Linked DNA regions of Oreochromis niloticus. The main gene of each other region encodes a partner of the protein of the gene in region 4 in a complex. Links are inferred from orthologs where the notes say so. Each region holds a gene or a part of one and is shown on either strand. Other genes may lie near its edges. The genes, in order: thoc6, thoc7, thoc2 and thoc3.

Region 1 (7,589 bases), on a different chromosome or scaffold from region 4:
CTGGGCTTAAATCCCCTTAATTACTGATGTGAGTCAGCTGTGTAAAAGAGAAAGGCAATCCTCAGCTGGTCCATTCATCAGTCAGCTGACTGTCAGAAAAAACAAACTTATACCAAAATAAAAGAAGATAAAGTAATCCCAAAAATCCCATCAAGTAATACTTCACAATAAAAGTCTAATCAGATCTAATCGACATGATTCAGCTGCACTGGTGAGATGGTGGCAAATACCAAAATGTTTTAAACTGAAACAACATTTTATCGGCACTTTTTCCCTTTTTTGTACAAAATTTCCCACATTATGAAGATTGAACACTGTTTATCTCCCTTTTGTTGTCTTATATTTATTATTTTTCAAAATATCACAATGTCTCCCAGCCACACGGGGACCACAAGCCAGTGTAGTCCTGGTTCAGATAAACTAGGAGGGTTTTATCAGGAAGTCCATCTGATGTCAGAGCAAACATGCACATCGTAAAGATGAGATGGTCAGGTTAACGAGCACCTGTGGTAAGGTGAAGATAGAGACGGAAAGATGGAAGGAGCTCTGTGTGGAGCTGATGAATGAAGCAAGAGAGCAGGATGGAGGAAGTGAGGTCAGCCGAGGTTATCACAGCTAACTGAAGCCAAGTGTGAAAAATCATTTTAATCAACTCAAGTAAAAATTGAATTATTTTGTAAACTTGCAAAACAAAATAAAACAAAATAAAACAATAATAGAGAAGAAATGTGTTTGTAAGTTTGGTAAAAAAAAAAAATTAAAAAAATCCTGTTTTATTTTAATACCTGCACTGACTCATGCCAATAATAATACTTAGAAAGACCAAAACTAAGAAAAACTTGAATTGAATTGAATAAGAATAAGAACAACTTTATTTATCCCGAGGGAAATTCTTTTGTCATGTACATGCTCAAAGCAGCAGGAGAGACCGAGGCACAGATGAAATAGATATAAGATATACAATATATATACAATAAGAATAGTGTACAGTAATATACAGTAGGATAGTGCAAGACAAATAATCGGATAACTCTAACAAAGTAATATACATAACTATATCCTGGTGAATAAATAACTAAACTATCAGTGCAGGCGATTCTAGAAAGTGACAAAGTATTGTGCAATAGAATGAAGGGAGTAGCAGCGTATGATGGGGGGATGAAAACAAATATTCAATAAGTACTCTTGGGTAATATTGCACGGTCTGGGAGGGAACAGAATAACATAGGTAATAGTCTCAGGAGAATCACCTACAGAGTGAGGAAGAGTTAAACAGTCTTATTGCCACCGGTACAAAGGATTTCCTGTGGCGGTCAGTTCTGCATTTCGGGGCAATGAGTCTTTTGCCGCGTTTGCTCCGATGGTCCATCATGGGGGCGTGCATGGGGTGGGAGGGGTTGTCCATGATAGAAAGAAGCTTTTTTAGCATTCTCCTCTCAGACACCTCCTCCAGGTTCTCAAGTCTGACACCCAGGACAGAACCGGCCTTTCTAATCGGTTTGTTCAGCCTGTTGGCATCAGCTGTCTTCACCCCACTTCCCCAGCACACAGCTGCAAAGAACACAACGCTCTCCAACACCGAGTGATAGAACATGGTCAGGATTTTCCTACCAACATTGAAGGACCTGAGCCGCCTCAGTAGGAAAAGCCGACTCTGCCCTTTTTTGTAGATAGCATTGGTGTTCTTGGTCCAGTCCAGTTTACAGTCCAAGTGTACCCCCAGGTACCGGTAGTCCTCAACGATCTCCACGTCAGCCCCTCTGATGGTGACAGGGGTAGGAGGAGGAGCCTGCTTCCTAAAGTCCATAATCAGTTCCTTTGTCTTTGTGATATTAAGTTGTAGGTGGTTTAGCTCACACCACTCGACAAAGCTGTCCACCACACTCCTGTACTCCTCCTCCTGTCCATCCCTGATACAGCCCACAATGGCAGAGTCATCTGAGAATTTCTGCAGATGGCATGACTGAGACTTGTACCTGAAGTCAGATGTGTAGAGGGTGAAAAGGAAGGGTGATAGGACCGTCCCCTGTGGCGCCCCTGTGCTGCTCAGGATGTTATCTGAGCGGCAGCTCTTCAGTCGGACATGCTGTGGTCGACTTGTTAAATAGTCCGTAATCCAACCTACCAGTGGGGCGTCCACCTGCATTTCCGTGAGCTTATTCCCCAGCAGTGATGGTCTGATCGTGTTAAAAGCACTGGAGAAGTCAAAGAACATGACCCTCACAGTGCTCCCAACAATGTCCAGATGAGAATAAGCCTGGTCCAGCAGGTAGATGATGGCATCCTCCACACCGATACGAGGTTGATAAGCAAACTGCAGGGGGTCCAGCCAAGGCTCCACCAGCAGCCGCAGATGTTTTAGGACGAGTCTCTCCAGCGTCTTCATGACATGTGAGGTCAGAGCCACTGAAAGCCTTTATTGTCATTATACATAGTATAATGAGATTAGAAACAGTGCTATAAAAGTGCACAAGTGCTTTAGCACATTATAAAAACTATACAATAATTTAACTATACACTTAATATAAATATAAATACACAGTACAGTACTAGATGACAGAGACAGACAGGCAGAGAATTGATGATATTTCAGTGCAGATCACTTTTGTGCAAGTTTGAGTTGAGTATGCTGATGGCTGCCCCTGAGTCTGTTTGTCCTGGCCTGAATGGATCTGAAGCGCCTGCCAGACGGCAGTAGGTTGAAAAGATGGTAGCCGGATGGGTAGTGTCCTTTGAGATGTTTCTGGCCCTGCTGAGACAACAGGAGTTGTAGACAGCAGACAAGGAGGGCAGGGGGCAGCTGATGATTTTTTGTGCTGTGAACCGAACTGAACCGACACAAGAAAATGTGCTCTGGAAACTAAAGTGAATTAAAAACTCAAAATGAAATAAAAATACAAAATCATTTGAGAGTATAAAACTATGATAACTCTGAGAGCAGCTAAGACGAGGGTGGAGAGTGGAAAGAGACTGGTCCGGATGAGATCCATCGTTCTGCCATGAACTCCAGTGAATATGTCTGTGTGCAGCTGTGCGTCTCCTGGAAGGATTTCCACAGGTTCAGGAGTGTTTATGGGAAGTGTTGATCGTTCTTCCAGAAGCACATGTGTGAGGTCACAGTGATGTTGGAGGAGAAGGCCTGGCTCACAGCCTCCGCTCTGATTGGTCCCAAAGGTGTTGGATCAGGCTGAGGTCAGGACTCTGTGCAGCCCAGTCTGGTTCTCCCACACCAAACCGGCTCGTCCATGTCTTTATGGACTTTTCTTCGTGCACTGGTGTGCAGTCATGTGGGAACAGGAAGGAGCCATCCCCACACTGTTCCCACATACTGGGAACATGAAGGTGTCCACAGTGTCTCGGTCTGCTGAAGCACGAAGACTGCTGAAGAACACCCCACACCATAACCCCCCTCCACCAAACTTTACACAGCGCAGTCAGACAAGTACCGTTGTCCTGGCAACCGCCAAACCCAGACTCGTCCATCAGATCGCCAGATGGAGAAGCATGATTGGTCAGTCCGGGGAACACGCCGCCATTGTTCTAGAGTCCAGTAGTGGCGTGGTTTACACCACTGCATTCAGATGTTAAGCTCATCTGAAGGCCACATGACGTTTGGAGGTCTGTAGTGACTGACTCTGCAGAGAGTCAGCGACCCCTGTGCACTCTGCGCCTCGCATCCTCGCACCACGGTTGACCACTTCATGGCTGAGCTGTTGGTGTTCCCAGTTGTTTCCACTTTGTTATAATTCCACTAACAGCTGACTGTGGAATGTTAAGTTGTGAGGAAATTCCACAGCTGGACCTGTTGCACAGGTGGCATCCTATGATAGCGCCACGATGGAGTTCCCTGAGCTCCTGAGAGCGAGCCATGCTTTCACACATTCTTTCTGCATGCCTAGCTGCTGACTTTAAACACCTGTGGTCATGGAGGTGACTGGGACACCTGAATTCAATGATTTGGCGAGTGAATACTTTTGGCAGTACAGTGTACCTGTGCAGGTGTGGAGACGTCTAGGAGAGAGGATGACACTGGTGAGCCACACCACCAACATGTGCAACAGAGATGTTGAAGCTAGGTGATGATTGTCGAGCAGCAGTGTGGCTTCATGCTGAGGAAGAGCTGTGATGTTAGTGCTGATGGAGAATTTTAGATGAGAAGGAGCTTCTGTGTGTTTGTGGATCAGAGGAAGCAGATGATTGACGGTACTGCACGAGGAACCATGAAGAAGTATGTGAGGGTGGTGCAGCACACGTATGAGGACAGCGGTGAGGTGGTTGAAGGTGGAGGTGAGAGTAGATCAGGGATCTGCTCTGACCCGCTGCTTGTTTGCAATGCTGATCGACGGGATGGCTGATGAGACCAGGCAGGCGTCTCTGTGATCTGCAGGAGGGAGGAGGGAGGCTGAGACGGTCTGTACGTGTGCAGAGGAGGGAGAACGATGATGATGAAGCTGATGACAGGAAGAGAAGAGGAAGAGCTCAGTGAAGGTTCGTGGATGCAGTGAAGGAGGATGTGCAGAGGAGGACAAGCCGCTGAGGAGAAGAGGCTTGTCGCTTCTAAAATACATCTCCCAGAATCCTCGGGGCTAGTGTTGGTGACGTCACATTCCTTCGCCCTGGTCCGCTCTTTCCCTCCTCTGTTTGAGTTTTGGTTCCTTTGCTTCTGTTTCGGTGTTTTGTGCCGTGTTCGCCTTAAAGGAGCTCGGAGAGTTTGTGTGAGCAGCATGGGTCCCGTGGAGGTGAGGCTTACAACGTTTATCTCAGCGGAAACAGGAAATAGAGAAACCGGCTGATGTTTGAGAGTAAAGCGAGCTTCGTGCTGAACGATAGAAAAATCAACAAAGAAGTGAACGAGCTCAGATTAGTTTCAGGTTTTCTCTGTTTTACCGGAAAACGGACTCAAAACGAACTCCGTTTAAAATTCCACTGAACTTAAATTCGAGTCTTTAACTAAAATTTAAGAATTTAAATTTAAGAATTTAAATTTTAGTCGCTTTTTAAAAAGTTGAGGTGAATGTGATGTGCGATAGATTTACTGACCGGAAGTGATCAGTATTAGTAACAACCTTTGCTGCGAGTCATCTGTTTATAGATACATGCACGTTTATTCACAAACTGCTTATTTAAAGCTGATTGGAATGTTTACACTCAGGCGAATAAAGGTGACGTCACATGACTGCATGTCCTGCACCACGTGGTAACTTTAAGTTACCCAGATGTCCCTGCACAGGTGTGGTTGTTCACCTGTGTTGTGGTGCTTGGACTAACGCACCTGTCTGTGTCTGCAGCTGCTGCACATGTCCGTGTTCTCTCAGAGTTTCTCTCCCTGCGGTCGCTTCCTGGCAGCTGGAAACAACTACGGCGAGATCGCAGTGTTCAGGTGAGTCAAACGCACCTGGTTCGACTCGCCTGCGCTCACTCGCACTGAAGGGCCACACCTCTCATTTCTCAATGCTGTTTTTTCCAGTTTGTCTGCAGCTCTGAGTCCAGACTCCACCGCGCTCAACCAGAAACCCGTTCTGACCTTCACAGGTGAGTGTTCGGGTCAAAGGTCACCCTAAACCCACGAAGCCTCTGCAGGATGGCGAGGACATCACAGGCGTACCTGTTGGTGTTTACACCTGCACTCGAACAGTGGCAGAAAAAACAACAACGTGATTAGAACCGAGGAAGTCTGAGCTCACTCACATGAAACACACTCACCTTTCCAGCCTTTTGTTTCTGTGATAGAACCAAACATTTATCTGTTTCCTGCACATGAGCGCTAAACATCCTGTCACACTGGACGCTCCTGTGAGGCGCTGAAGCGTCGTTCAGTCCTTTTGGTGACAAACATCTGCGTCATGCTGAAGACACTAGAAATAAAGAATCAGTGAAAACGTGAAGGTTCCAGCTGATTTTAAACCAAAACTCAGGATTAAGCCTGCGTCTGACCAGGTGAGGGCTTCAGCATCAGTTACCATGGTGATTTAGACAGGTAGAAAGAGAAACCTCTGAGTCTAAGCTCGACGCAGCTCACCAACAGTAAAAATATGACACACTGTAAAAAATAATGCTGTAGTTCCTGTTTACACCACCAGGTGGAGTTCCAGGTGTGTTTGTGAGTCAATATTTTTGAGGCTCATTTTATTGTGATTTTTATTGCAGCTTTGTGGGGAGTTATGGTTTCATTGGGACTTTAGTGGCCGTTCATTGTGTCCGTGTTGATTTTGGACACACTGTCCTCACAGATTCCTTTTTGGTCTTGTTGTCCTGCAGCTCATGAGGGGCCGGTCTTTTCCCTTCTGTCCACTGACTGCCACCTGCTGAGCGCGGGAAATGGAGAGATCAGCGCCTGGAGCTGGAGCGAGCTCACCAAGAAGGTAACCTAGAACGCCTTCAGGGACACACAGACGGAGAGGAAAAACGAGTTTGCCTGATTTTTGTGTTTCTGCTTCCTCAGAACGTCAAACCTCTGTGGACCCGAAGACCGAACTACAAGTGAGAACCAGCCTTCCACCCCTGCCTCCTGTCTGCTTCCCGTCTGCCTCCTGTCTCCTTCCTCACTCAAACATCTGCTGTCTCCTTACAGATCCAGCCTGGAGATCCCAGAGATCAACTCCATGACCATCAACTCCAGAGTGAGTACACCTCCACCTCTCTCCTCTGCTTTTCTTCATCGCATTAAAGCTGGCCCACCTTTACGAACAGAAAAGACTGGAACCTGAAATAAAACACAAACCTGTGACAGTATGAAGAGTATCCTCCTCATCGTCATCGTCAGAGCCGCTGGTTTACTAAACCCCTTTGTTTGTTTTTGTATTTTTTATTGAAGTCCTTTTATTATTCTGACTTTTTAAACACTTCTTTTTACTCTTTACTCTTTTTTAAGTTTGAATGTTATTTAATTTGGTGTTTTTAGAAGGGATGGAGCATGCACTGGGGGGCTAGTTCCATTTTTGGGCCTTTTTTCTGATGATAATGAGGATATTTGTGTTTCTGTCGGACGTGTCGCTCCAATGTGTCATAAGGAGTTGTGTTTCTGTGTCAGGATAACAGCCTGGTGGTTGGAGGAGGCGATAACAACATCCATGTCATGGACCTGGAAAACGGTGTGTTCAAGGTGAGTGGGGAACAAAACTGACTCCACGTTTCATGTTATAACCGCTGAGGTATTTTTCTCCTTACAGCATGTCACTGTCATCCGTGTGTGTGTGTGAATGATGACTTCTGCTGTTAACGTGTGAGTTTGTGGGGACCGATTCACTGCTGGAGCCTCTGCTGGACGTCAGAGGAACTGCAGTTTTTTTACTTGGACGTCCGTGTGTGCACTGAACTGTTTCACACCTGTTCAATCTGATTTTCATGGCAGCATCTGTTGGGGGAGTTCTGTGTTTCCATGGTGACGGGTTTGTGTTGTGTCTTCAGACCGTCCTTCAGGGTCACTCGGACTACGTCCACTGCGTGACTGTAAGAGAGAGGGAGGCGGAGATCCTGTCGGGGGGAGAGGACGGAGCAGTGAGGGTGTGGGGTGAGTTCACAGGAAACATGGGACTGTGAGGAGGATGGTGAGGATGAGGATGGTGATGGTGAGGATGATGGTGATGGTG
Region 2 (7,971 bases), on a different chromosome or scaffold from region 4:
AGGCTGTACCACACACCTGCCAATCAAAGTGACCATGCATTATGAAAGAGGCTTACCTGTCTATGAGGCATAAACTGTTTATTTGTACCAGGCTATAAAGATGTCTTACCGTCATTTACTTGCACATTTTAACATAACAGCCTGTAAAGATTGACTTGCTTTTGGGGCCAGTCTCAAATGGCCAGTTATTTATCTAGCACTTCCATGTTGGATTCATTTTCTAGCCCAAAATTTGCCACTTGGTCAAACACAGCAGGAGCGTGTAATCATCTCAGATGATTTAATCCAGTGATTCTAATCAAAATCTATTGTGAGTTCAAAGAACAGAACAAAGCAGATTAGCGGACGCTGGATCAGCCTGCTGATGTTGAATCTTTTAAGCAACATACAGAGAACAGATGCTGTAAAAATGAAGACCTCTGTAACACTAAGCAGTCCAACATAGAAGTCTTGAAATTACACAATTTGTGTAATTTCCTTGATACTTACCGAGGGGCAGCTGCACTGCTCGTCTTTTTTTAAATTCAAACAATTCATACACATATAGTAGTAAAAAAAAAAAAAAATCTTAAAACCCAATACAACAAGTAGTATAAAGCATATCCTCAGATGCAACTCAGTGATGCTGTAGTCTCATTAAGCAACACTTCCTTGATACTGAATACTTTACAATAGAAACTGTATTCAGTGTTGGGCCGTTGTGATGGAAGTACTACATGGCTAGGTATGATTATTCTGCAGCTGAGGAAACGTAAAAAAACCACCACATGTCAATAGAGTTTTGAAATGAACAGCAGCAAGATCTTACCTTGGCAAAACAAGAAACAAGGAATTTATCTTTAAACTCAATCAGATGATCCACATCAGTTTGGGTGATTCCTGGCTGGCACACACACACTGGATAGGAAATCTGGAGACATACACAGACATGCATTGAGGGAAGATGTAACTATACCACACCTTTTCCTTTCTAAAGTTAGTAGGTGGAATTTTTGAATTATGTGTAAAAAACACTTTCATTCCTGCCCCCTTAGTGATCAACTTAGTCAACATAAAGCAACACATACATCTACAGGAATCCATTTTAAAGACATGTAGACATTTTTATTGTTTTTGTTGTCTTCATACATTTAAGGCATATTGCTGTTTATTCAGTAGTGTACTGTACCATATGGATTCCACCAACTTTACATTTGTTAATCGAATGTTGTTTTGCTTGTTTTGATGCAGCCCTTTAAAACTTACAACCTAAATACTGTCAGAACTAAACCACACTTCTTAAGTTTAAGTTATCTAATGTCAAAGATTTGTTATAATGAGGACAGAATCAAAATAAATTCACTGCAGGGAGACCTGAATTCCAGGATTTACTGGTGCTACAGGTTTAAAAAAAATTGTGTACTGCTAATATACACAACAACTTTTAGCAAAAGCAGAAAGAAAAATAAGAATCTTACTGCTGCAAAAGTGGCAGTCCAAAACTATTTTCACACATCAAGTCTGGAAAATGTTCAGAGAGTCAGGTCGGGAGACTGTCCAGTGTTTTCTCTTCTCACATCTAGCTCACAGCAGAAGATTATTAATTGTTAATAGTTAGTGTGGTTTAGGTGAACAAGCTGCCTGGCTGGAAGGTTGAGGACACAGGACACAGTCACTCAGTGTAAATTCACCACAGTACTATCTGCGCTATTCTCACATTCGACAACACGTAATACATATAGACTATCTATCTACATGTATAGACATCTAAAAGTCAATACTTTCCTGTTAACTTTCAATAAGTTAGAGTGGGAAACAATTACAGAGTATTATGTAAACGCTGGCATATGGGTGGACTGTGGAACATGCTATTTAACCTTTCGACAGCAACAAAAATTCTGACTTGTGACAATGCAGAAGGGAAAAGTTTCAGCAGAACTAAAATATTAGTATTACATTTGATTCTGTATCCATGTGCTGTCAAACAATACTAACAGACAATTCTCACATCTCTTTTTTATAAATGCCAACACTGATAAAGTGGCAAAGAGCTAGTGCCACCATTATATCCGCTGGCCTCTACAGTGTCACAGTATTAATACGGGCTTATAACATGTTTATCATTATATCCGAAAAATTGCCTAGAATACACTAATATATCATCTGAACATCAGTAATACTGACTTCTGACCAGCATGTAAGATTATGTTTACGATGGCAGCAGCCGATGTCATCTGTTGTGTTATCTGCTTAATTTATTTATTTTATTTTTTTGTTTTTATCTTTCTCAACTGGGTGGCTAAATAACAAAAGCTACATAAAAACATGAAAAATAAAATGACATTCAGACAGAAAAGATATGATCCAATTATCACAATGATTGGAATGGGGAACTGGTTATGCTGGATTTCCACCTTTATATAGATTCACTGAAAAGGCCTATACCGGTTAGGAACAATGTTAATAACATTCTTACGGAATATAAACATACCAGTACCCGTAGCTTAGCCTTAGTTCGGTTGTGGTTTTGACTTTACGAAATGAGTACGTTAAAGGCCATGAGTGGAAGAACATACCATTATGTCATTTCTTTAGAAAAACAGTTGTTGTCATTGGCAGACAGGTGCAACTCTGACACATAGATAAGAGAGAACACAGGAACCAGAATTTGTATTGGCTAGAATTGCTGCCACTTCTACTCGACACTAATTACACTATCGTAGTTATTTTTTTGAATAAAAAAAGACAACATTAACCTTCACCGGAAATACGGTATTTGAAAACAGACCAAATGTCTATTAGCCGTTGTGTCATGACAGTAAGCTTAATCCAGTGTGGGTCTGTGACTGGTACAAACGTTACTAAACAGCACTGATGGCTAACGTTAGCCTGCTAGCTGGCTAACGTTAGCCAGCCATGACTAGCGCCAGCGAGGAAGCTGACAGCAGCCTGACAGCCCAGCAGAAGTCATTAGCCGCGGTCACATATCGACAACAGCTTCACACTTACCAAGGCTCTGGATCCTGTAGACGTAAGTCTGACACCTGGCTGATATATATCAACTGGATGCACAGAGTGAAGGAGACAGAAGACGGTGGAAAAGAGCGAGTTTAGTGCTCAGCCTCTGTGGAGGTCTTCACTTGGTGCTTCCATGTCTGTTTACCAGACTGCATTCTGGGACAGAGAAAAACGTCACCGCGCCACGACGCAAGCGCGAACTGACCAATGACTGCATGGCACCGCCGAACTTCTCCACCAGGAGATTTTATTTATTTATTTATTTAAATTTATTTATTTATTATTTTATTTTATTCCCCTGTTAAATACAGTATTTACAACTGCATGAAGCCTGGGAGATATGTGATAAGGGAAAACATGATAATTAACATCTGCAATTTTAAAAAATTAATAAATAAAAAAATACTACAACATGTTCACCAAACATGTGTTTAATTCGATTTAGACGATTTAAATCGATTACCTAATAATTACGGGCAAAAACAGAGATAACTATTATATGGGAATGAAAGAATCCTGAACTAAAATCTATGAGAGAAGCAATGGTGGTGGAAGTGTAACTGCTTGTGGGGGGAAAAAAAAGTTTTAAAACCTAGTTTTGATGCAAAGTCAGCACACTCTTAAAGGAGTTTTTTATTACAAGGTTTGATTGATGATTCTATTTGCAGTTTTCATATCAGCGAATGCTTCAAACTGCCTGCCCAAATAAGAGTCCCTAAGAATTTGAACATGGTTGCAGGGTGTCAAAACGTGCAGTGTCCTTAAAAAAAGTAGAGAGAACTGGACAAGAGACATGTTCTGCAGAAACAGGAAAAAATGCAAAGACCTGACACAAGACGAGATATGCCAAATTACACAAGAACTGAATTGAAAAAAGCAGTGGCATGGATATCCTGGAGTCATGAACCCAAAGTTGACATTTTTGGTTCAAATCATCACTATGTAAGGAGGAGGCCAGGAGAGAGTTAAAACAGCGAGTGCCTACAGCCATCAGTAAAACACATTGGAGAATGTTATGGTTTGGGGCTGCATTTCAGCCTGTGGTGTTAAGAATCTTGTTAAAACTGAGGGAAATATGAATACATAAAAGTACCGTCAAATTTTGATTCACCATGCACCACCATATGGAAAGGGTCTGATTGGCAAACAACTTTTTTTTTCGGTATGACATTGACCCCAAACACACTTTCAGTGCAGTAAAAGTATACCTGGATAGAAAAACACAAAATGGAACACCATCATGTCATAGACTGGCCTCCCCAGAGTCCATACCTCAACATTATTGATGCAGTGTGATATCATTTGGACAGAGAACAGAAAGAAAGGAAGCCAACATCCAAAGAAGAGCTCTGAAGAAGCCTGGAGAACTATTCCTGAGGACTGCTTAAAGAAATTCAGAGGAAACCTTACCTTAGAGAGTTCAGGCTATCTTGAAGAATAAAGGCAATCATACACTGACAGACAAGTCAACTGCAATTGTAAAATTGGAATTGAAGTTATATAAATTCAGTGTTTGCCTTATATACTATATTTCCATGGATGTTTGCACACATTTCAATAAACCACTGAAGCTATTTCCCATTTCTCTAACACAATATAAAGAAATGAGGGGTGGTTTAGTAGTTTCGCACAGTATTGTATGCAAGCCAGTTAAGAAAAATAGCTCACACTTATATCACTTTGCAGAATTTATTACAAAACGGATAAGAAAGCTATACGTCTGTGTGAAAAAAAAATCAGTTTAGTGCGATGGTTCATGACACAAATTCAGACACTCTATAAATGTCATCAGTCATCATGTCATCACCAAAACATGGTTTTAACAATATACTTCCGTGTTTTTCTGCTCTTCCCAAAGTAAAAACACTCATCATATAAAGTTTTATCAAAAAGAAACGCTCTGCATTTTTTTTTTCCAACTAAAGGTTTCACTTGTCTCATAAAATATCCAATGGCAATCTATTTTTGTCCACTCCAGTCCGATTGGTGGCGGTAATTCTTCAAACTAGCTTGCCAACCCAGGACTAAACCACAGAAGAAGAGCAGGAGACTGTCCACTTCCTGCTGTTCAATAAAGTTTTGCAAAGCCGAACCATAAACATGGGGGCTGTTACAGATGGTAAGTAACCGTTCTCTTCATTTATATTAGCTATTCATACCACCTATGAGTAGTAACAATTATCAGAACCTTTAGAAATACCACTATACCCAGTCACATACCCATACCCGTAAAAAACGAACCAGTTTTACATGGAGACGTGGGTTATTTTGGATACAGCTAACATCAAGTAGCCTTGTTAGCCGATGTATTCTCTTTACCTGCTGTACCTGAATGGCTGTTATTTCGCCCGTATTCCAGATGAAGTTATACGGAAACGCCTTCTCATTGACGGTGATGGAGCCGGAGATGACCGCCGAATCAATTTGCTCCTGAAGAGTTTCACGAAATGGTGCAACTCTCCCGGGACCCCGGAGGAAGGGTAAGCGAGCTCTACATACCCTATCAGTGGACTCGGTTGCCACGCATTTCTTTAAAATCGCCAAGAAGAATTTGGTCTGAGTCATAAAAAGTGCTGTAATTCTGTTCAGATTCACACAGTATCAGAGGATGCTGGGCATTCTGGCGCAGTGTGAATTTTCCATGGGGAAGACGTTGATGGTTTACGACATGAATCTTCGGGAAATGGAGAATTATGAGAAAATCTACTCCAACATCGGTAGGACTGGGTTTTGTGAGACTGTCCATTTATCTTCGCAACTGTTTACGAGTCACATTTTGTATTACCTGCTTTTCCAACTCGTTAATTTTTCCCCATACTACAGAACAAAACATTGCATCTGCACATGAGAAGATAGCAGAATGCAAAAAAGAAATTCAGAGGGCAAAGAGGATACGAAAGAATCGCCAAGGTAAGAAAGCTATTCAGTTAGCTGTCCTATTGACAAAAGACTCACGTTTTGTTATGTACTCTTTCTACATGATATATCTCCAGCTGTTGTCAATTCTCACCTGTAAATTCTAAAGATCTTGACATCAGTTAAAGCCTTACACCTATTTACTTGACCCTAACCCCACCAAAATATTCAAATGTGTATTTCACTGTTTCCCTTAAATGTGCTGTAATCACACTGCTACTCAAGAGAAAAAAACCTGGCTCCATTGATCATTAATAATTCTAGCCTTAATTGTAATCTTTCATTCTTCAGCAAAGTATTTGGAAAAAAAAGTTTACAAACAACTGAATGAATACCTTTCAAATCATAGTTTTTATAAGTACCAATCAAGGTTGAGAACCAGGCAACGGCACAGAAACAGCTCTTACTAAAGTCATCAGTGACTCGAGGATCAATAATGATTCCCTGAAAGTTTTTAAGTTTGAGTTTTTCTTGATCTCACTGCTGCTTTCAACACTGTTGAGCATGACATTCTAATTCATAGGCTTCAGGACAAAGTTGGTTTAACAGGTCAGGCTCTTGATTGGCTCTCATCATGGCAAAAGGGTAGAAGTTTTATGTTTCAGTTAGTAGTTTTAGATCTGCACAAATACAAATTCAATCAGAGGTTCCTCAAGAGTCTATCCTTGGTCCATTACTATTTAACTTTTACATGCTCCCACTTGGTGCTGACTTAAAGAACCATAAAGCTTTTTAGAACTGAACAGAGCCTAAACCAAAACACTTTTTGTTGGTCCCAAAAGTCCGGGACAAAAAAATTGTTTTCTATTTACCATCCATTTCTCTGAAACACCGTGAGCAAATCAGGGACCTTGGCATCATCTTGTATGGCGGTTTCAGTTTTGATAACCACATGAGTGAGGTTACCAGAACTTCTTTCTATCACTTAAAAATATATCAAAGGTTAGAAAATTCTTATCTCAAAATGACTCATGTGTTTGATCCATGTGTTCATGTCAAGTTTGTCAGATTATTGCAATCATCAGGATGTCTTTAGATGATTCAAAATGCTGCAGCTACTGTCCTTATTGGTACGTGGAAATTTGACCACTTTACCCCAGTAATGAAGGAACTTCATCGGCTCCCATTACAATATAAAATTACCTTAAAATTCTTCTGTTACTTCACAAAACTCTGTTTTGCCCACCAGTACATTATGCATATTAGATGTAACTTGTCCAACTTCACTCTTTCCTTACTTTTTCCAGAGTATGATGCTCTAGCTAAGGTTATCCAGCAGCACCCAGACCGACATGAAACACTAAAGTAAGTCAGTCCTTGCCTTCTGTTTAGTCAGATTTTTACATTAAATTAAATGCATCCAATTTGTGTGCTTTCAGCTTTTGTGATGATCTGGCTATGAGCTCAGTTTTACTTTGTTCTTTGCAGGCAGCTTGAGGCGCTTGATAAAGAACTCCAACAGCTGTCTCACATTAAGGAGAATGTGGATGCCAAGGTAAAACCAAAATATCTCTTAAACGCTTTAGTTTTAACTTTGAATATTTTTTAGTCAGCAGTAAAAATTCCTGCTTGTTAAAATCTTGCTTTTGTTCCACTCAGTTGGAGTTGCGGAAGAAGCAGTTCCATGTGCTGCTCAGTACCATACAGGAGCTTCAGCAGACCCTTGAGAGTGAGTGCTTTTTAGTCTCAGTAGCTGTTAAAGTGTGCATCTTAGCACATTTGGTGTCACCTCGCCTCGCTGATCAATTTTCTGTTTTCTAGACGATGAGAAATCAGACAATGACGACAACAGTCAGGAGAGCCCTGCAGAGAACGGAGAGTGAATATGTGGAGATCCTGAATTTAAAACAAAACTTGATTTTAATTGATTTTGTTGTCTCTGATACTTTTTTAAAATGTATTTTGAATAAAGCTGACTTGTCCACACCTGCTTTGTTTAATTTATTCACCAAATTTTAGATTCATATTTACATTGTTGATTTATATTTATGTAAAACAGAACTGTTTACTTCAACTTAAATAATAATTTAAAATTTTTGGATTATAACTATTTGTTTT
Region 3 (7,974 bases), on a different chromosome or scaffold from region 4:
TCAGCACACACCAAACAGAAATCTCCACATGGGCTGCTTAATTCCCTTCTACCTTACAGCCATTGTTAAACATGAATAGTACCGTGTTTCAAAAATTAGACAGCACTTCTGAAATTCATGGATTTTATTTTTTAAATCTATTTTTGGTAAATAATTTTAAACCTTTTGCATTCTTTTTGGAAACTATGAGAATTCCCAAAATGGACGTGTGTGCATGAAGAGCAAGCTAAAATACAGTGACAGATGCATACAAGAATATTATTAAAGGAACGAGGGTCACACTCAACTCACCTTTAATTTCACTTCCATGATCTGCTTTCTCTGTAAGGTCTTTGCAGAGTTGTACACTATGAAGTAAAGAGAGAATTCTTTTTTAAATTAAACTAGAGTACAAAAACATGATGATGAAAAGCCTTATAAAGCTCAATGAACGAACCAGGATGCATGAAAACTTATTTAAATCCATTTGTTCCGTGCCAACAATTTCTACATAACATTATTCTTGTAATATCCCGTTCACTTCCTCCAAGTTATATTTTTAGATCACATAACACTATTGCATTATTTACGCCTTAATCCAGTCTTAACATTACACCGGATAAAGCTTTAGGTTTATCCTAATTATCAATGTAGTAACTCAAGAAATATTATATTACCTACATTGTCACTACACGAGTATTTATGCTGAAACTGCTGTGTGTGCATATAACAATAGCACTGGCTCTTATGTTTGCTGGATTGATTACTGACTGAATCTTTGGGCGGGACAACCCTTACCTTTTCTGTTGCCAAACACTCACACAGATTTATAGTTAGTATTTACTGAGTGCCATGTTTCTCCCTCTTAAACTGACTGTGACTAGTCCAATAGCTTAGCTGGTGGATTGAAAGACTTACGGTTCACCCAGTTGACAGCTTGACTGGTATTAAAATATCAGAAGTAGTGATGACAAAGGCAGACTAATCGAGCACGTTCTGCCATGCACATCCCATTCATTAAAAGGTATAATTACACACACTGGAGCACACTAGCTCCTTTCCTCTGTAAGAAACTCAACGCAGTCCATCAGCTTAATTGTTAGAGATAACAGCTTGTCAGGTGCTAAACACACTGTGAACAAGAAGTGCAAATGCTACAAAAAGTCAGAGTTACAGCAAGCGGACACCTTGGATTGCCGGAGCCTCTAAGGTCAAACGAAGCAAAGCTGCTATTTGTATAATGAGGCTGACAACATTTTCACCACTTTAAACTAAACCCTGGCCTCTGGGACTGGTTAATTGCAACTCAACTGGTATGACTAAATGATATTAAAAAAAAAAAAAGATGTAGATCCAGAGGTCCACAATGTTTTATATCAATGAATTATAAGGTCAAAAATATTGGTTAAGTAATAACAATGTGATACTTTTAGTATCAACACGAAATCCACCTTTTCATTTACTGCCTGTCATCACAGAGGATGGCATCTCACTGTGCTGCCAAATAACACTTCCACTGCAATGTACTCAGCTTTGGTATAACGGGTAATTTGCCTTGATGGAAATACTTTAATGGTTACCCCGTAGTTGCAACTGTTTGGCATAATTTCCAGTTAAAGTGCTATCAGTTATTGACACAAGATAGTGGAACGAGAGTTTGAGTTGGTGCATCCCACTGCAGGCCTTTCTTAAATATGTAAGGCCTACAGCACATAATCGTAGCTAGTACTGTGGATGAGCCTATTGTGTCTCAGCTCAAAGGCGATGGCAGCGCACAAAATTAATGCGTGAAATTATCATTCACGCAACGTTTTTCTTGTATTTTTTGTTCTAAAGAAACTAATTTTAAGATAACAGTCGCCGTACATCAAGGTGTTGGGAGAGGCTTTTACAGTACTGCTTAAATTATTAAGTTTGACATGTAATGTTAGTGATAAAGTTGACTCTGGTAATCGAGATGCCTTTATACAGCACCAAGCGCACAGATGTGCATCGATGAATAACCTTGGCTATGTCCACAGTCTCTATGCAAACCGTACAGCGGCTATCTTACACCATTATCTAGGTGAAATTAACGCCAGCTAAGAAAAGTATGACGTTAGCTGTAGCTAGGTTAACATTATGATTAAAATCTTCATCTCCTAAAAAAATATATCGTCAAATGATACGTTTTGTTACACTGAATCAAAAAGCGTCATCTTTATTCTTCCAGGCTTCCCCGCCTAAACATTAAAGCATACGAAAAGGAATTCAACACAACAATTAGTGTAGCTAACGTTACGGCTAATCTGCTAAAGCGTTTTGTCAATGTCCGTTGTTTTCCCTCCACACGATTATTTAGTGTTAAGGTTTATAACAGGCTGCCCAAGGGGTTTTCTCGCCAGCTGATTCTCGGTTGTCTGCTCGAAGTTGATGGCTGCTAATTCCTTGAACTTTGGAAGTACATTTACGCCAGTTTACTGGATAGTGCGATATCGAACCAACAGAAGAGTATGCTATGTGTATGCTAGCTCGCTTAGCGTTAACAGCCATAGTGTTTACACATTGACGGCGAATCAAATGGGAGCGTAAAGCTAGCCTGACTGCTAGCAGACAGCATTAGCTTCCACGGTGACGTTCAAAGCCATTGAAGTCTTCTTTTCACAAGTCTACCAAATTAACTATATTCAATACTCAGCAACTAAATTACACGTATTGTTTTTTAAGTAAGTGACACTTGTAAGCCACTTTATCTTTTAGCTGCTTAGCTAAAGCTAACACACCTAAAGACCGGCCTTATATTTGAATGCTAGCTACGTCATTCTTGATACTTTTTATTCGCAAACAACGGGTAAACAAATGCAAAATTCAACACTGCGTTGAAATTCAGATGCACTCACAACTCATGTTTTCCTGATTTTTCCCAGTTTTTGATCCATTCACCAGGAAGGGTAAGTGTCGCCATCTTCCATGCACACAGCCCGGATGTCTAGTTTATCATCATGGCACACACAGGGTCAAATGTGGTGGTTAGCCGCCGCTGCTAGATCACTGTTGCATTGTGGGACATCGACAGCTGTGCGTCCGAGGTTTTCACACGGAGTGGTGGTGATGGTCGTGTAGTCTGGGAATAAGTTTGATTCTCCACGTTGTACTATTTAACTTTTTTAGTTAAATAAAATCCCGTGACACTTGAACAACCCAATTTAAATCTACCGGTAACATTTTCTCTAAGAACTACCTAAACATAACAAACTACAGGACAGCTGCGATTTCCATAATCCTCCGGTGCACTCATGTTTCATCAGTAAAAGCCAGTTATAGTTACAGTACAGGTGTTCTAATACCATATCAAATCATATTTATTGCTGTGTTATTAAATCATCACACAGTTGTAGAGGGTTTATTCTGTTCATGTTACATCTCCAGACATAAATACAAACAGTAAAGGATGCAATGGGCACTTTGTAAATAGAATATAAACACAAATTTAATATATGCAAATATTTAAATATGTATAAACGTACAGATGTTTGCACATTTTCAGCAGTTTGATGCAAAACAGAAAAGCTCCAAAATGACATGAGTCATGTAAATTTACAGGCAAGTCTAAGAGGTGTTTTTCTCATTTGCCTAACATGAATAGTTATTATGTATGTGGTAATGTTTAAGACCAGATGATTTGATTCTCCAGATTATAGTGACACTCTGAGGAAATAAGGTATTCATTTTCAGCTACAATATGATTACACCTTCTTCCATAAAGTCTGATTCTGCCAGCCAGGCCAATACACAGAGGAAATACCGGAACAATCCACGGTAAAACAAAGAAAAAAACAATGCACTGTGTGTGCACTTACAAATTAGTAGATTAATGTCAAAGACTTACATTCTTTTCCTTTGACAATTCCCCAAAATTTCACACAAAAAGAAACAGTAAATATAAAATGAGCACCGATTCACAATATATTACACATTTGTAACTGTATAATATACAATTCTGATACTATGATTGTTGGCTAAAGAATTTAGAAGCTTTGTAATTTAGAATATTTCTATAACTCTTATACACGCAGCAGTGGCAAACCAACCAAACTGGCAGTTTGAAAAACTATTTCTGAACACCTGCAAATAGGAAAAACAAAACAAAACCAAACAAACACACATCGTTCTCAACCATTTTAAAAATCCTTTCTTTTAAAGATTGCAATCATGGCATGTCTCTAATATTAGATATTACTAGATACTATACAGTGGAAAAAAATAGTTAATATATAGGAGAGATTACATATTTGAGGTCGAGTCAAAATTTTACAACATTGTGATTTCTTCCAACATTAAAAAATAATTTTAGATGCAGCCTCAATTTGTCAAATTACTACATCTGAGCAATGAGGTACGTTTGTACCCGTTCGCTACAGAGAGACGAAAAGAAAATACAGCTGGCCACATCTATAGTAACATAATCATTTCCTTTAAAAAGGATCATTTTAATCTCTATGTGAAATAACATGATTAATAGAAACCATTAATTTACATTTGATTGTCATTACAAAATATCTATAAATCAAAGTTATCTAGAAGGTATAAAAGCAGAACACATGTCTCTAAAAAATACCATCACAAAGAAATCTGAGAATGCTGTATATATATAACTTGTGGCAAGGCCTTTAAACAGTATGACACGCCAGTTCACATTATACTTTACTGTGTACATGTTTCGATATATGGCTACATGCCATGCCAGAATCTACAGTTTAAAAGTTCAGAAGGTGAACAACAATACCACTGACACCCTTCCAATATAACGCAGTAGCCATTTAATAACTGCTGCCATTATGAAACATTATATGTTCAGTGTATGTTCAGATTGCATCAGAGAGGGGGTTCGTTTACACCTAAGATAGTTTCTCGATGCAAAGCTTAAAAATAACCATCCAGCTCAATTACCACCTCTGTAACAAAGTGCAGGGTCATTATAGTGTTCAACAATAACTGAACACTACAAGCATCAAAACAGTAGTGTTATTCTGCAAGCCTATTATATTTTCTGGTGTTCATGAAATTGTGTTCACCCTCCCTGTATATTGGCCGCTATGTATTTACAGACATTTTTCGTCTACTTAAAGAGTTTAAAGGTATACATCATTCAATTGAATTTTGGCCTGTTATTGTCCCATCACCATGCAAACTGCCACACAATATCCGTACCTGTAACGCTTCACACATTATAACAAGTGTAGCCAAGTGATAGCTGGCATCAAGTTTTTTTAGGGCAACTGAACAAAAACTGAAACATCTCTGCCGCAGTGTGACCAAAATCCGGTGTGTGAAAATAGCAGAATAAAATTCAAATCCAAGCTCAAGCACTCCTAAGTTTTAACAAAGTGTTAAAGAGGCAAACATTGGTGTCTCACAAGCCTACTTAGTCCAGTCCACTCTCATTTATAAAGAGTCATTTCACCGTCCCAGGATTTCGATGACATGCTGTCCTTTTCATATTAAAACATTGAAACATTGAGAACCTAAAGGCAAAAGAAAAAAGCAGTGTTAAAAATTCAGAACCAAATAAAAACAAGCATATATTAAGTGTACAGGATGAACAGATGAGAAATATGTGGCTGTTTTTACACCTAAAGCGGTTCATCCTTTGGGTTTCTTTAATCAAATGGTCATAAATAACAAGAAAATGGACTCCTACCAAATAAGGCTAGGCATGTGTGAACTGTACGTTGATCTATCATGCTTACTTGGGCATTCACTCAAACAGTTAAGAAAAATCGTTTCAAGAACATGAACTTATCTCAAGGACTGTAACCAGTGCCATCCAAAACACAGTGAAAAAGTTATTATAAGGAGTGAAATACTCCTACCGAATCATCCATGATGGAAGATGGATCAAAGTAATCTGGCTTCAGTTCGGTTCTTTCTCTGCGATTCTTTGATGCCGGCTGAAAGGTAACAGCTCAGTTAGAAGAATACTCCACAAGATGAAAAAAAAAAATATACAGTTAAAAAAATTATAAATTTTAACATCAACATTTGTTTTTATTATTTATTTATTGGAAGGACTGGCATGACCAGACTACTGAAGGATGCTTACTCTGCTAACACATGATTCAGATTATCTCGGAAATTTGGTTCAGTTCATCTGGATGCTGCATTTTCAGTGGGAGAAATGTTTCATTACTCATCTCCTGCTGAAAATGCCACATCCAAATCAGCTGAATCAACTTCCTAGGATTTCCTTACTGGAATGATTAAACATGCATCTAGACAAATTTAGACTATTGTTTTTGGTTTTTTTTAATTACCAAATCGATGTCCATTGTGTCAAAATCCATGCCCTCATTGATATCTTCCAAGCGGTCTTCAGATGACATCATCACATCCTCCACTATTGGCTCCTCATCATCCTCCATGAGCCCAGAGCCTCGACGACTGTGACGAGTAACAAAAACATAACACGTCAGTAGACTGCTTTTTGTCAGACTCTTTATTGGCTCAAAGTTCGGCCAAAAACAGTTAAGTGTTGAACTTCTTACATTGCTTGCTGCATGTGGTTCCTCATCTTGGCGTAGTGCATGCTAACCCGCTCTTGCTGCTGACGGGCTTCAGCTTGTTGCCTTTGTGTCAGCATCCAAGTAACCTGGGTACTGTGGAACAGGGTTCATTACTTCATAATTCCCACAGTTTTAAAAAAGTGGCTTTACATACTGTACTGCAACTAAAACCTCTGCGGACATGTATGCAATAATGTAATACATATATTTTTTACTTGTAATCAATGGTAGTCTGGTGTTGAGGGTGTGGCTGCTGCTGCTGAGGGGGCACAGGCTGATGGGGATGCTGCTCTGCTGGCATGGTGAACGTGGCTGTGAAGCTGTCCTCTGGCCTCATTTTCTTTGGATCCCTCAGTACAGTGGAAGTTAGATGGGGTGAATGCATCATCACTGGCGTTTGCACATTCTGCTCACGGTTCATCCAAACCGCATCGCTGCTGCTACTGCTGTTCTCTTCTGCCAGAGAAAATCATTTGTTACACTCCTTGAATTTTACTGAACACACGCAGTGGCCATAACAATGAGTGAGCTGTTTGATTTATTATTAAAGTGGCAGGCTGTGATGAGAATTAACATGAAACATTTTGCAAGAGGATCCTAGGAGAAATACATGTCCCTAAGAGAGAGACGCATTTTTATGTTTACGAGTGACGTTTGAAGGTGAATACTGCACCGTATTCAAATTCACGACGGCGTATTCGCTCACAGAAAAACCTTACTTCAATCTCAGGGAGACTTTAAGAAATACAGCAAACAAACTGCTGTGTCAGTCATGGAATCCAAAGAAAATGTTGTCACCTTAAATGCAACTCTACTAACCAGCAGCTGTTTTGATGTAGATGAACTCATGCTGCAGATCAGTTGTTGTGGTAGATGAAATAAATGGTTCACCAAAGAACACCAGAAATGCTCACCTTCAGGCAATTTTCTTTTGCTGGCAGTGGCTGGCTTGGATTTCTTACTCCTGACGGTGGACCCTCGACTGCTGATCCCACTAATTACAGACATAGTGTCATCGTCTGCTCCAGCCTGCAGGGAATTTCTGTATGAGATGAGAGGCAGCCAGCAGTCTTCTCTCTGCAGGGCCATCTGAAATGTCATGAATCGCTCCAAGTACATGTGACTGCAAAAAGTGAAATGACAGTAAACATTAGAGTCTTTTTAGAAGTTCTCATCATTTTCATGCTCACATTACTCATCATGCTGCAAACTTACACTGTCCTCTTGTCCTGTCGAATTAGTTTGCTAGAGAACTCACTCAGGATATCCAAAAATGCTAAATTAAGCGGTGGACTTCCTTCTCCTTGGGGACTTGGCTCTTTAAAGGCAAACTCAATCCCGTCTCTAAAATAAACAAACAAGACATGACATATGAAAGTTCCTGTTCATTAGAGCAAATGATGTTTGGGTTAGGGAAATGACTTACTTATGTAACATGGCAATAGCCTCTCTT
Region 4 (7,129 bases):
AGTGCCCCATCTGACCCAGCAGGGCCCAGGCTTAGCCCGGAGAGACGGGGGTCGGGCCCGGGGCCGGTCGTAGCCCGGAGGAAGAGCTCGGACACGGGCAGGGAGAGGAGGTCCTGCAGCTCTCTGTCTGAGAAAGAAACAGCCGAGTCTCCAGTCAGCAATGGCTGCATCAACAGGTGGAGCAACACTCGTCACAAGCATGCCCTCCATCCCGTCCTTATACTTTCTAATCCAGGTGGAGACACCATCAGTATCCCTGGAAGTGCAGCAGCAGCTTTCCAAAGATGGAGGGAATTCCAGTTTAATAGAGAAATAAATCTTCTCTTGTTATTTCCTTTATGCTTTAATGTATCTAATCTAAAAACCTTTGCATGTGTAACACAAACACAGAGAAGAATATTAGAAGTCATGCGGTCAAGAAGGAGGCTATGTAGTTAGCTGCAGTTTTAGAGTCCAGGTTCCAGCACAAGGTTGATGCTGACCTGGTCTCCACAATTTACAGCGATTGCTGCGCCTCGGCTGTTCTGGGTCTCTGACGTGTCGCTCGCTGTCTCTGCTCCACAGTGTCGAGGAGGATCAAATCAAGTCAAACGGAGTCGACCATGCAGTGCCCGGTGATGATGCAGACGCCGCCCTCTCTGCCGGCTCAATCAACGGCAGCGCAGACGCAGAGTGCTAGGATGGACTCTGAGTATCTTCGGTTTGTGTGTTAATTGACATAAGAGTGATGAGATCAGATGATTTGCAGAGTGTTTGCCTTTTGTTTACTGTGTCAGATCAAAAATGGAAACGTTGACTTTGTTGTACTTTTGTATTTATGTTTTTTTGGATTTACACTAACCGACTAACAACTCGCTCGGATGAAGATGCACAGGTAACAGAGCAGTAAGAGCTAATGCACTGGTGACTTTTTAAAAAAAGCAGGGCTCAGATAAGTGGAGGTGATCAGCCATTGTAGAAACTCCAGCTGCTGTATCTGCTGCTCCATACGTACCGCATGAGGCTAACGCGCTCACATTCAATAAAACTGACACTCGGATTTTTGTAGCTGTTTCTAAAAACACCAAAAAGTCTCAAAGGAGCCAAAAGAACAGCTGTTGGCTTTTCTACAACGGCTTTTATCGGCCGCTCGCTTCTCTGATGATTTTTGAACATAAACCTGTGGATCCAGGAGGAAGGATGGGCTGCACTGTACGAGGGAAGCTGCAGTATTTTTGCACAGATCCTCAGTTTTCTTCAGACACTTTGACTTGTATAAAGACTGCAAAGCTTTAGGTTGATTTTTTTCTATTTGATGCACAAAGATTCTGCTCAGCGTCACTTTGTGTCATCAGCAGGAATGCGCTGTACTGTTATAGAACCCAGTTCTCTGGCTTCTCCTGCCTTGCCTCCACCTCCTGTCATTTTTCTCCTGGTCAAGATAGAACTGTGCAGCTGGCATCCTCAGCGGCGTGAGCATAAATGGTTTTTCTCTGTTTATGACCTGCAGTTGCAAATAGAGGAGAAACACTCTTCTTCTGCTGCTTTCAAACAAACAAAACACTTTGTCATGGGTTGCTTTTGAGGCATGCACCACAGATTCTGCTGTGTTCTCCGGCAAACCAAGCAATACCAAATGTACCAACAGGCGGATGATTGCAGTTTTTTGGTAATGTGGGGATGTTAAAGTCAAAGCTTCTTTTCAGACGTGATCTAGTCAATGATGAAAGCTGTGGATGTTTCAGAAAGTTCCAGATGAAGTAAATGAACAGTTTAGTTTTGTCGTGCTGCTTTCAGCTGACTGCAGCTCCACCTGTCCAGGCGTTTACCTGAGTATGAGCTCGGGCTGATGAAAACACCTGGGAATCATTTTTATAGACAGGGTTTAAAAAAAATCAAACGCTTCCTGCCTTCACACAACTTTCAGTCCAGGTTTCAGCATGTCGTCATAAGTCATGCAAGGTGAGTAGGAGGGAAACACAGAAGTGACATGTGACTGATATTTCAGGTTTAGAGGAACACGACACAAGCTTTTTAACCATACGTGTCACAGAAATGTTCTCAGGGTCCATGGGTCAGACCTTCATCAAACCCACTTTAGGGGCCTCAGTGAGAAAACGATGAGGAAAGACGGAGACCGTTTTTTTTTTCTGGTTAAATGAGCTAAGAATAGAAGTGCTTTGGAGGACTTAGGGTGCTTGTGTACTTTTTCTACCTCTCCATACACCTGCATCTAAACCTCAACGTCCTGAGTTTTAGTCTGTATCGTGAAAACTCATGAGATCGTGTCATAGTCCACCAGAGACAAGATGTCTTCCTCCACTGAATCTGCACCGAGTCCAGAGACCTGTGTGCACGTGTCCTGAAACACCGTCCTCGTTCCTCACCACAACAGTTGACTTTTATTTTGTAGGGCTTGCTGTCTTTACATAGTTTTCCTGGCACGTGACGCAACATTAAAACAATTTTTTACAAGTATGCAAAAACGTAAAGCACATTTATGTGACGCTTTCACTGCTTGTCATCTTTTCTTAAAACACAGAATCACATTTAAAAAGTGCATTTTGTTCCGTCCATTCGGTGTGTTTTACTCTAGTGCAAAAGGACCACACACTCAACATCAGAAGCTGCCTCAGGCCTGAATATTATGCATATTGAGGCCTTGCACAGGCCTCCGGACGGCAGGGGAGTCCACCTGCAGATGGTGCAGGTTTTGGGTCCTCGCATCGATTGCTTAGTTGGTAACCAAGTGGCTTCTTAACCGAGGGATATGCCGTATTTGACAGAAATGGGGTGACTAGATATTGTGTGTGTTTGAGATATAAATGGAGTGTTGGTTTTTTTTAAACATCACTTGAAATAAATTGGAATTCAAATAAAACGAGAAGTTTCTGTCTTTATTTCAACAATGAATTTGGAAACCTGCAGTGGTTACATCATTGAAAGATATGATGAATGTGTGCAGAGTCAAAGATCACATGTGTGGTAATATGAACATATAGCATTACTTTGAGTGACAACATTACTGCCACTGAATCTTAAAGTCATAGACCAACATGTGAAATATGTCACAGAAGATGTGGTAAAGTTCAAAGGGCATACAAATCTCTCCCTGCACAATCAGTGGATGGATTTATTTTTGTACTCAAACCCATCACGCTGTTGGTGTTCAGGTAGGCCTATGTGCAAAGAACTGCTGTATTTTCTTTAGAAGATGGGAGATAGTAAAGCATTTTTTCTGCATAATTTACAAAAGGAAGGAAGAAAATAAAAGCTAAATATTTCTCCATAATTTACCTAAAAGCAGATCGTGCCACTTCTTTCCAGTTCTTCCACAAATAGTCACAAAAAAACTTTCATGTATAGCTTAACCCACTTTAAACTGTATGATAAAACTATCAGCTGTAGCACATTAAATGCACATAGGCTGCAAACCAGACAGCTATTAAACATTCAGTGTGTTGTGCATAGGTTATGTCATGTTATGCATTCCACATTATTAATAATGATAGAAACAATACAATGAAGCTGAAGTAATTTTTCTTTTCTGGGATTTAAACTGAAGATCACTGACTGAGCTCTGAACTATTTCATGTTTTACTGCCATACAGAAACGAGGATCTGACAGTTTGTAAATTATGGATGATGCTCATTCTAAATTTATTAAATAGCCCATTTCCCCAAAGCTCAAAGAAACCTGTTTAAATTAATTCATAAGGTTTATGCATCTGAAGTTGAAGCCTGGCTTCACGTTTTTTTCACGTTGTTTTTAGTTATTAGAAAATGCATATCAATTCAAATAAATGACGTCACAGTTTGAGATTGCTTATATATTCTTTTAAATGGATAACTTTAACTTTTCTCTTTCCAATTTGACTGATTAATCATTCTTATGAGCAATATCCTGCAGTAATAAGGCCTTTTCATTTGGTATTTAGAACGATTTAAATATTTTATTCCTTGTATTAAAAAATACAGATAAGATAGCTTCACAGACACTTTGTTTCCACTGTTGTTTTCTGAATGTATTTATGTTACAGGAGAATATTTTATAAAGGTAACCGTCTGAGAAAAGTAAACAAGTGTCGGTCCCCTCCGAACCACCAGATGGCGCGCAGGCGCCCTTAAACCCACCTACAGTCGGCCGCTGTTGTTACGTAGGAATCCAAGATGGCGTCGCAGTATTTCCAAGAGATGCAGGAGAGCTTTAAAAATAACAGCAAAAGCCGCGAATTTCCCGCTCATACGGCTAAAGTTCACTCGGTGGCGTGGAGCTGTGATGGCAGGAGGCTGGCCTCCGGGTCCTTTGATAAAACAGCGAGCGTCTTCGTGCTGGAAAAGGACCGTTTGGTGAGTCACATAGCGGCATGTTGCTAGAATGCTAGCGTTAGCCTGGTTAGCTCGCTACCGTGAATGAATGAAAGTTTGACGTTAGAGAGCCGACTGTCACAAAGAACACGGTCCCCCTGGATAATCTCTATCACTCAATAACTGCCACTAACTGAACAGCCTTGTAGTTATTGAGGAATTTACGTCATTAAGCAGAAACCTATAAGCTCCGTCTGCAGCCCAGCAGACAGATGAGTCTGTGCTGACACATAACTGCCTGCTCCAAAGCAATACTAACTAAGTTTTTTATTCATTTTAATTATGTATATATTCACTGATTAGTATTGTTATCACTGAAATGTCCAAATTTATAAACTTTCATATTTATGTAAAGAGACATGATCAAATCAGAAAGTTAAACAAAGTCACCGCCCTCAAGTTTAAATTAAAACGTTCACATATACATGCATAACTGGATGCTTTTTTTTTTTCTTTCCACAAAGTGTGACGTGTAAGATAATCTGAGTCAGATTTCTAAGAGAAAACTTTACAGGTGATCGTCTCGCTGGGCTGCTTGTGGATGTGCTCTGTAAAGTGGCACATGATGGATGCCTGATACAGGTGATGTTTTTCTGCAGGTGAAAGAGAATAACTACAGAGGTCACAGTGACAGCGTTGATCAGCTCTGCTGGCATCCCACCAACCCGGATCTGTTCGTCACAGCGTCCGGAGACAAAACCATCCGCATCTGGGATGTACGCACCACAAAATGCATCGCTACCGTCAACACGAAGGGTAGGTCATAAAGACTGAGGTCATAAAGACTCCTAAATCAGCTTACTGCAAAACTTAAGAATTCATTTAAATGTGATTCTGAAACCCAAGACTGCCACAGTTTCAGACATCATTCATTTATGCTGCTCCCAAAAATTTATAGTAGAAAGAATAAGCAGCAAAGGCATATAGATCAAATTATTGATGATGAATTCATGAGTCCGTACCTGCTGATTCATTTTTCCCGGGTGGTTTCTCCTGGGAAGCTTCTGTAATTTGAACATCCCTCGAATCTCATTAAAAATAATTGTCTTTAGAGCAGGGCGATATGACCAAAAATATTTATCACGATATACATTTGAAAATTTGCGATAACGATATAACTGACGATATAATTGAGACTAGACAAAATACTTTACAACTCCACAACTTTATTAGTGCAAAAAACCCCATCAATGTATTTTCACTTAAACAAGCAGCTGTTTTTTATGTGCATTAAAGTTATATAAAAATGTAACAGTGCAAATTCCTTGCTGACAGTTTAACCAAAAGGCATTTCCAGTGGAAATTGGCTGACATATCCTCAGCATAACCATGTAGAATATCCACAAAAGAGGTTATACACACACAATACGGTAATATTATGTTGAAGCACAGTACGTATCACTCCGCGAGGCTCCTGCCTACGATAGCCGTAATGCTCCGACAATCCATCAAGTGGTGTGGCTTCGTAGCTTAGCAAAGTCATACTAAAACATCTGACAGATTTTCGAGCGCCGTGTACATAAAATCATTTCGAGGTCAGTAAACACAACCAGAATTCATACATAAGGCGCACGGGATTATAAGGGGCACTGCCGATTTTCAGAAAAATCAAAGGATTGATTTTAAGTGTGCCGATATTTTATTTTCCTATCGTTGCCCAAAATTACACCGGTATTACCGTGAACGGTATGATATGGCCCAGCCCTAATTGTCATACAAACTTCTGTAAGGCTTGTTTGTCTGATGTTATCCTCTAAACACACAGCTCGCATTAATGCTGAATGAGCTAGCTGCGCTCTTAGCTGCAGTGCTGCTTACTGTGACTAGATGGTGAAGAGACTCTTTAAAAGACACTGACATAAACCATTGTGAGTTATAGACTTGAGTAAAGCGGGAAAGATGTTTAGTGAGTCGAGAAAGATACGATAGTCTCACCGTCTGAGGAAAGTCTGCTGGGATGATAGTGGGCACTTTTGTATCGGTCATTCGAAATGACCCCCCCCCTACAGGAGTCATGACCCTTCTTTAAACCTTGCTCATCACTGTGTGATCAAAACTGAATCTTTGCCTAAAGGTGAGAACATCAACATCTGCTGGAGCCCAGACGGTCAAACCATCGCCGTGGGGAACAAAGATGACGTGGTGACTTTCATCGATGCCAAGACACACCGCTCCAAGGCAGAGGAGCAGTTCAAGTTTGAGGTGAATGAGATCTCGTGGAACAACGACAACGACATGTTCTTCCTCACCAACGGAAACGGCTGCATCAATATTCTGAGGTACGGAGCAGATTTCTGCTCACGTTCATTCCTGACATGCATATTCACGAAAAGCTGAGCGTCATGTTCTCCGTCACTTCTCACACACCAACACCAGCCAGCTGCTGAGTGAAAGTGTACAGCTAAAGGTTAGGGAGTTTGATTTTTCTTTTTTCAAATCAAGGACAGAAAACGTCTACGAGCTGATCCCAGAGCTTTTGGGAATGGTCTCCACTTCATGGTGGTTTGGCTTTAAAATGTGTTTTTGCATTATTAGAAAAACAGAGGAAGTTTTCTATCTGCTCCTAATTCTTTCTTTGAAAATGAACACGCAAACACTGCAAGTCAATAATAAGTAAAGGTCTGAAGGTATTTTACATTGACTCGCGTTTCTCTTCACCTGTGCACGAACCACGTGGACTCCTCTGAAGCACCTGGTGTCAAAATCGTGTCAGAGTATTCTGATTATCTCCGTCATATATAAATGACGATCTGCGCTCATGAAATAAACGGTGGGTTTGTTC

Evidence for each region.
Region 1: thoc3 (region 4) and thoc6 share a complex: the UniProt entries of both Homo sapiens proteins name them as parts of the transcription/export (TREX) complex. The link is inferred for Oreochromis niloticus from reciprocal best matches to the Homo sapiens genes THOC3 and THOC6.
Region 2: thoc3 (region 4) and thoc7 share a complex: the UniProt entries of both Homo sapiens proteins name them as parts of the transcription/export (TREX) complex. The link is inferred for Oreochromis niloticus from reciprocal best matches to the Homo sapiens genes THOC3 and THOC7.
Region 3: the proteins of thoc3 (region 4) and thoc2 are in contact, whole or in part, in a cryo-EM structure (PDB 7ZNL), measured with the Homo sapiens proteins. The link is inferred for Oreochromis niloticus from reciprocal best matches to the Homo sapiens genes THOC3 and THOC2. Residues at the interface, in NP_115737.1 of Homo sapiens: Asp193, Met196, Ile208, Val217, Gln218, Asn221, Ala222, Pro224, Ser225, Ala244, Asp245, Ala246, Leu247, Ser249, Trp251, Asp252, Asp254, Glu255, Leu256, Val257, Cys258, Val259, Cys261, Ser263, Leu265, Asp266, Pro268; in NP_001075019.1 of Homo sapiens: Tyr395, Arg396, Pro401, Lys402, Gly403, Ala404, Lys405, Gly406, Ser407, Pro446, Ile447, Ala450, Arg454, Cys500, Asn501, Ala502, Cys503, Met504, Glu506, Pro563, Arg566, Gln567, Lys570, His573, Tyr603, Leu604, Thr605.

What each region holds. Positions count from the first base shown.
Region 1 is NC_031969.2:34,256,390-34,263,978, reverse strand, and holds the start of thoc6 (THO complex subunit 6 homolog), read left to right. Parts: upstream 1-4,580; 5' UTR 4,581-4,724; coding exon 4,725-4,739; intron 4,740-5,288; coding exon 5,289-5,380; intron 5,381-5,467; coding exon 5,468-5,532; intron 5,533-6,258; coding exon 6,259-6,362; intron 6,363-6,442; coding exon 6,443-6,480; intron 6,481-6,571; coding exon 6,572-6,620; intron 6,621-7,030; coding exon 7,031-7,102; intron 7,103-7,407; coding exon 7,408-7,510; intron 7,511-7,589. UniProt on the Homo sapiens protein: Component of the THO subcomplex of the TREX complex which is thought to couple mRNA transcription, processing and nuclear export, and which specifically associates with spliced mRNA and not with unspliced pre-mRNA.
Region 2 is NC_031970.2:28,885,063-28,893,033, reverse strand, and holds thoc7 (THO complex subunit 7 homolog), read left to right. Parts: upstream 1-4,968; 5' UTR 4,969-5,097; coding exon 5,098-5,116; intron 5,117-5,356; coding exon 5,357-5,477; intron 5,478-5,586; coding exon 5,587-5,714; intron 5,715-5,820; coding exon 5,821-5,907; intron 5,908-7,160; coding exon 7,161-7,218; intron 7,219-7,341; coding exon 7,342-7,408; intron 7,409-7,512; coding exon 7,513-7,582; intron 7,583-7,674; coding exon 7,675-7,736; 3' UTR 7,737-7,839; downstream 7,840-7,971. UniProt on the Homo sapiens protein: Component of the THO subcomplex of the TREX complex which is thought to couple mRNA transcription, processing and nuclear export, and which specifically associates with spliced mRNA and not with unspliced pre-mRNA.
Region 3 is NC_031975.2:10,792,679-10,800,652, reverse strand, and holds the start of thoc2 (THO complex subunit 2), read right to left. Parts: upstream 3,014-7,974; 5' UTR 2,924-3,013; coding exon 2,859-2,923; intron 348-2,858; coding exon 292-347; intron 1-291. Other genes in the region: stag2a (cohesin subunit SA-2a), read right to left, coding at 5,460-5,483, 5,832-5,909, 6,273-6,399, 6,504-6,614, 6,737-6,977, 7,436-7,644, 7,737-7,865, 7,948-7,974. UniProt on the Homo sapiens protein: Component of the THO subcomplex of the TREX complex which is thought to couple mRNA transcription, processing and nuclear export, and which specifically associates with spliced mRNA and not with unspliced pre-mRNA.
Region 4 is NC_031966.2:7,006,873-7,014,001, reverse strand, and holds the start of thoc3 (THO complex subunit 3), read left to right. Parts: upstream 1-4,115; 5' UTR 4,116-4,149; coding exon 4,150-4,329; intron 4,330-4,946; coding exon 4,947-5,103; intron 5,104-6,421; coding exon 6,422-6,626; intron 6,627-7,129. UniProt on the Homo sapiens protein: Component of the THO subcomplex of the TREX complex which is thought to couple mRNA transcription, processing and nuclear export, and which specifically associates with spliced mRNA and not with unspliced pre-mRNA.